Linked DNA regions of Oryza sativa Japonica Group. The protein of the gene in region 1 interacts with the protein of each later gene in a pairwise test. Links are inferred from orthologs where the notes say so. Each region holds a gene or a part of one and is shown on either strand. Other genes may lie near its edges.

Evidence for each region.
Region 2: the proteins of anaphase-promoting complex subunit 2 (region 1) and cell division cycle protein 27 homolog B interact in binary tests that used the Arabidopsis thaliana proteins (3 or more experiments, as listed by UniProt). The link is inferred for Oryza sativa Japonica Group from reciprocal best matches to the Arabidopsis thaliana genes APC2 and HBT.

Annotation. Positions count from the first base shown.
Region 1 is NC_089038.1:24,728,715-24,731,630, reverse strand, and holds part of anaphase-promoting complex subunit 2, read right to left. Parts: coding exon 2,683-2,916; intron 2,565-2,682; coding exon 2,493-2,564; intron 2,087-2,492; coding exon 1,845-2,086; intron 1,360-1,844; coding exon 943-1,359; intron 845-942; coding exon 643-844; intron 517-642; coding exon 402-516; intron 320-401; coding exon 234-319; intron 1-233. UniProt on the Arabidopsis thaliana protein: Component of the anaphase promoting complex/cyclosome (APC/C), a cell cycle-regulated E3 ubiquitin-protein ligase complex that controls progression through mitosis and the G1 phase of the cell cycle.
Region 2 is NC_089040.1:25,890,421-25,894,257, forward strand, and holds part of cell division cycle protein 27 homolog B, read right to left. Parts: intron 3,252-3,837; coding exon 2,956-3,251; intron 2,364-2,955; coding exon 2,217-2,363; intron 1,238-2,216; coding exon 997-1,237; intron 135-996; coding exon 1-134. UniProt on the Arabidopsis thaliana protein: Component of the anaphase promoting complex/cyclosome (APC/C), a cell cycle-regulated E3 ubiquitin-protein ligase complex that controls progression through mitosis and the G1 phase of the cell cycle.

The DNA.
Region 1 (2,916 bases):
GCATGATTCTTGGTTGAGCAACAAGTTCAACATGATTAGAGATTTCCAATTTACAATAGCTGTGAATCAACATCTCCTTACCATATGAAATATTAGTATGAGAACTGAAGACTATTTTAGTCATAGGTCTCCCCACGCCCCAGCAGAAAATAAGAAAAGGGAAGACATGACAGATGACACTAATTTAGCTCAACAGTTACCATGATGGTTTCGATAAAAGCTTTGTACCATACCTGAATTGGTGGCCAGAAATTGGAGGATATTATAGTTGCGTCAAGAACCTCATGAGACAATTCTGTCTCCTCTTGCACAGTTCCTACTGACAAAAAAGAAGAGAGTTTAAATGCAAACGCTGTAACATTTGATCTGTTTGGTACAAGCACTCGCAGTTTAAGCAGTACCAGTTTGAGATGTCTTTGATAAAGATGTTTTAATATTTGAGTTGGTTCTCTTTGAGTCAATCAAGTCATTAAGCATAATCTCACACTTCTGCATGCTGCTCTCCCCAAAATGAATCTGCCAAAACAACAGCATCATTAAAAAAAATAGAGATAACAACTAAGGAATAGCATCATATGCAATTCAATCAAATACATAGAAAAGGCATAGCTAAGAAGACAATCACAAAAGTAACAGTCCAACCTTAAGCAGTTCCAGCGTGCGGATATCTGAATCAATATCAAAATCAGATTTATTGAGCAGTTTTTCTGCCAGCATTACACGATATTCATTGACTAGCTGGTCCTTTGACCCAATTATACTGACAATAAGTCCAAGAATATCAATTTTCCTTCTATTCCTGCTGCCCTTTAATGGGTCTGCTTCCACAGGATCAGGTTCCCAGCTGTAAAAGTTGGAATCACAATGACAGCAGTTTTATTGATGTACTTATTAAAGGAGCAATTATTTCTTAATAGTTCAAGAAACAGAGAGCAAATATACCTTTCAGCATTTAGCCATGCTTGCTTCTCATCAATGTTCGTATGGTCATCATAATCAACATTTTCCTGGTTTTCAGCATCTCTATTCAATTCTTCCAGAAGATTGTCCCCAGCATTTCCAGTTCCGTTCGCGTTTCCTCCAGATCCATCAGTGAGCATTGTTACTATGCATTTGATAGTGTCCTTTCTACCTCTCAGGTAATCTCTAATTGGTTCACCTACTGCTTCCAAGAAGACACCAGTGGGATCAATTGTACGTAATGCCTTGATAGTGGACACGTACTGGTGTAATATATCATTGGTTGATGCACCAGCCGTCAGCAAGCGATATCTCAATGATGAGATAAATGAGTCAACAAGTTTAGAATGTTGACCCGTGTACTCCAAACACTGTTTTAGGTCTTCAATGGCAGGAGAGCTTCATCAATACCCAAAAATTTCCAGATTAAAAACTGTGCTCCAGTTAAGAACACATACATCATAAAGAATAAAACTAAATTAATGCAACATAAAAGAAATATCATAAGCAAACTCTTCTGTTTGAGATGGCCGTGTGAAGTGTGAACATATTTGGTTAGACCTTAACATGGAAAAGACATGGTGTGGCACATGAAAAGAAATGCAGATGTTTGGTTCAAGAGCAACAAATTATTCACTGGTCACAAAAAGAGATGACGAAAAAAAGCAATAACTAAATAAATTATATCATGCTATATAGACCTCCTTCAGGTAAATGAGGATTGCCAGCAAGACACAGGACACCATAAACATTACCAATAAAACAAGTAATCTGCATACACTTCTACACCTTACAGTGCAAAGAAAATACAGGCATATCAAAGGTTGGAAAAGATATTTGGATATTCAATGCCCAACAGCATCATGTAGTGGACAATGACTAACCTCTCAGGGTAATCAACTATGATTTCAAAAAGTTTGCCAATTCGCAGGTCCTGCAAGGTCTCATAAGCAAAATACTCAAGGCGCATGTGCCATCTCACAAGGGCTTCTGAAGGAACGCCAATCCCAGGGAAGGAAGAAGGGCGTGAGGCCAAAGGTGATTTGAGACCAGATGATCCACTTTCATTGTCAAGAGAGTCCCCCAGATATGTCAATTGAGCATGCAAAAATTTAAGAGGAACGGCCTGGCAAGACCCAGAAATTATTGTCAGCAAATTATGCTGAGCAGCATTTACAGATGGAATTAAGGGCATAGTAGATATCATGTTACACTAAATACAATGGACTTACAGAACTGATTCAAAAGAGGTATTAAGTAATTGAAAGAACAATGAGACAAAAATTAATATTCTTAAGGCGCACTAGCTCATGATAGATGCACTGATGTGACAGCTCTATTACATTAACACTAAGTCTTATTTCAATTCAAATATGTGCGAGGGAAAAAAGGCTAAACCTGCAGAGAATAATTTATCCTTACAAGACCCAACTACTTAAGCGGGTATAATATGAAGCTAGAAACACAGAACAAATTTGACGGACAGGGAGATGTTTCTGAATAAATGACTGAATGAGGATAAGAAAGGTTACCTGAATCCACTTTTTGACACACCCAAGTACAGGAATTCTATAATCATCACCAGCTAGTTCATGAACTTTAGACTGCAATATGAGAATTGAGAGTTCAGATAAGGATACAGGCAGAAATTCAAGATTGTCCATGCCAAAATAATATATGTGGTATACACTAGGTACTTAAGGTAAAGAAGTGAGCCTGGACCTTTAAAAGCCAGATTATTGCAGAAGAGTATGAGTCCTCAGTCATTGATGTAAAACCAAGATATCTTAGATCACGAACAACTTTTCCAATGTTCTTAACCAAATTTCTACTTTCAGAAATCCCAGGTTCTTGACCATCAATGTCCATTTCAGAATGCCAAGCAGAGGTACTGTTCCTTTCAAAAAGATCATGATTATCAAATGGATCGCTCCCATCCAATCCAGCCATCATGAT
Region 2 (3,837 bases), on another chromosome or scaffold:
TAATTTGGAGTCCTGTGACAGAACTCGTTCAGATTTCTCTTGCTCGGGATATCTTCCATCAACTATACTTGTAGAAGACGAAGTTGAAGTTACATTATCTGTCCACATTTCATCAACAACGTGGTACCTGTTTCCTATGGTTCAGAAGGGGAAATAAAACCATCGTGAATATTAATGCACCATTCATATAGAGAAAGCTGATGCGATTATTATGATAATTATAATTTCACAAACCACGTAATTATGATATCGAAAAGGATAAGTTGATGGATTGGATGATCCTGCATCCAGTGAAGGAGAAGGATGTGTGATCATTTTAAAAGTCTTAAGTGTTAGGGCTCTTGAAACAGGATTCATGGTGCAAGAAGTTCCTTTCGATTTTTTTTTATCACAATAATCAGGAAACCTTATCCATAGGAGTGAAAAGTTCAAACAAGCAATGATACAGTAAAAATGTATGAATCTGGATGTAAATATTTATGTATTTTAGGAATAATGATCTAACATGAGGCGCCAAAGAAAAGGATAAGCAATTCTGCAGTTCATATGCTACATGAAGAAGAAACTAAAAACAATATGATAACGGAGACACTTCAAGGGTTGAATGATAGCTGATAATGTTCTGGTGGTATTATAGATGCTTAAAATTTCAGCTCAATAATAGAGATATTTAAAAGGTATATGGATTAACATGAACAGCCAATAAATTCGGTGAGTAGTTGCATGATGTTTCTTAGCATCCTAAATGCCTTGTGAGTTGTGGCTTGGTGTCATTATTGTACTTTTCAAGTACAATCAATACAATATTGATGAGTGAGTTTTACTAATGTGAACCCATTGCACATGAACATATAAGCAAACATGCAGATATATCCTGATTGCAGTGTCTATAACAACATATCAACCACATTTTTTGCGAGGCTTATATAATTTGAGGCTTATATAATTTGAGGCTTATATAATTTGATGAGTCATCCATGTCGAAATGGTAATCACCTTCATCAAAATTTTCTGTTGCCTGTGGTTTCCCTTTCCTAACTTGCACGGAACGTAGAGCTGTTGAACACAATTTTGATGGTGTGGACGAGTTTACTCGCAATTTACCTGACGAGTGATCTGTTCCATTCCCTCCAAATTGAGAGATATTTGAGTTTGAGTTTATTGTTGTATCTCTAGAAAGTCTTGCACTTCTTCGAGGAACTGAATCACTACTCTGATTAAACAGCCTTCCAGAAACCTGAGAAAATAATCTTTTAACTGAGAAAAATAATCTTTTAAGTCTGGTATCATCACAAGTCAAATCTAAAGTGGGGTATGAGCATGGTGTGAGGACTATCAACAGAAAGAACATAAAAGAGACTATACAGCCAGACCTCAAAGCAACAGAACAATAGAAACATAGGTCCAATATTAGACGAGATGAGCTCTAACGAAGGCAATAATAAATCAAAGATGAAAAGAACGAAACTACAAAAAATATTTGCTGGTTCCACAGTCCGTACTACATGGACAAACCTGTGAAAACAAAATGAAAACAATGATAATATCCCACTATTATTGAACAAAAGAATGCTGATGGAAAGTGAAGAACGTAAGGCGCTATGCAAAGATGAAAATGAGGCAACAATCTAGCAGCTAGAATGTTACAAAAACACCATCGGAGATATACTTCAAAGTTAATGAATGGTAAACTATCAAAAATTGACAAATCAGCTATTATCAGGTAAACTATCTCGTCGCTGGGGCTGGGTGTTGGTACAAACTTGATGGGTAGTCTGGTACTGTCAAACAGAACTATCCATAGTCAATGAATCTTAATTAATGGGCAATACAAACTAACAAATAAAAAGAAGACCGCAATCACAAACTTTGCAATGCAGACGCAGTTAGGTAGAAGCAAGGGATCAACATCCTGAATCCTGATAGAACAGCCATGACTGAAACTCTACAGACTCATACAACCAGGAAGTATTAGGCTGTAAATGCAATGAGCCAATGAATACTAATGCATTAACAAGCAATGCTAGTATGCACAACTGGAGAGGATCAGCAAGTATGTGGTTTACTCCAAACACGTATCATTTTCCGAGAGGTTTAATCTAACAATTTAAATTATTGAAAGAGGACAGTCGACCGAGAGAAACCTAGAAGCTCAAGAGATCAGTAGAAATTATAGAAGTTGCAAGACAGTATCTTTCAGTTGAGGAAACAACAACCTTCTTTAGGCCTGCTTCATCGATGTATTTTCTTCGGAGTGTCAGGTTCGGAGCATTAACCTTTGGTTTGGAAGGAGCATTGCCACCTGCTGTATTCTGATAAGCATGCATATTCCGAAAGAGTGGTGGTGGAGCAATGCCAGAAGCCTGCAAAAATTAAATTAATTAAATAGAAAATTGTGATAGCGCAACCATAGATCACATGTCTTTACACTGTATTGTGATGTTGTTTAAAGTGTGCTATATGCTTCTGTCACTCTTTCACTGCTCATCATCATATCCACCATGAAGCATATAACAGTGAACCAAAAGATACAAACTTTGCTGTGAGTATAATTTGATTTTTCGCTTTCCTTTTCCTTGTGATTTAACATTTGGCAGATTATTTACATTTTTGTTACTCATAACATGTAATTAGTTTGATTTTGATTTTTTTACACCTAGTCAGAGTAAATGAGAAGTACATCAAGAAAGTGCACAACTGCACTACAAAGGGTATGTTGCACTTCAAGAGCTGCTGTCTAACACCAAGTTGTTACTCTTCATGTGCAAAAAGGTCAACTGAAAGCATGTGATTCAGAGAAACAATAATGACAATATGCCAAATCTTTCTTGCAAACAAAGGTAAGAAGAGGATCTAGATAAACCAAATGTGCAGATTCTGGAGAATTCCTCAAAGTACGAATTGATTGTATCTGGTTAATCCTACTGGGTGAAGAACCAAACAAGTTTTGCTGACCTGCGTTGAAGTTGGCGATGGAGTGTCAAACTGTGATAAATTAGATGGTGCACCGTTCTGCATATGCAATGCAGTTGACTTTACATGAGGATAACCAGATACTTCTGCAGTGGTGTTAGCATGCAGCTGTTTAATTTGCTTAGGACTATCACCAAAACTTGCTGACACATTGGAAGATAGAAACCGATTTTCATTAACAAAGTTTGACTTTTCCACATTTGATGTGGATGTGAGTTCCTGCTGAAGACGTAGAGCTGTTGCTTCACTGAAACATTCATTTGCATCTTCAGCAACACCTACAAGATAGTTAATTAGTGACACACATGGTATATGCTTGCTTTTATATTTAGTGAGTATGAGGCCTTCAATATAAGGACTACTGGGCCATAGTGTAACTGCAACGGTATGCAAAAATAATAATGTATCAACATTAGGCATATCAATGGGCATGTATGGCAATGAACTAATCCCTGTTTTTTTTATAAGGTCTCTAAATGTGAAAATCATGATAACAAGAAAGTACTTTCAAAAGTGAATCTAATGACACCAATTCTGTATCGCAGCCTCTGCATATTGTTGGACTATTTGTTGGTCAAAAAATCGACAGAGGGAGTAATGAACATAATGGCTAAAAATATTATGCCTGTTTATTGATCTATCAAGCTAATAATGAATGACAGAATAAAACTACTATGATGCAAAACACATAACAGGCCTATTGAAGGTCTACTGCAAGTCACATATTTTGGATGACGTGTTCTTCTTCAGAAAAATCAACACTGTACTTTTCATTTCCTACTACTAGACATTTAGGAAATAAATCTTTGTGGTGAAGCAACACTTGACGCATGTAATTCTAATGTATAAAACTAGGAATGGAGG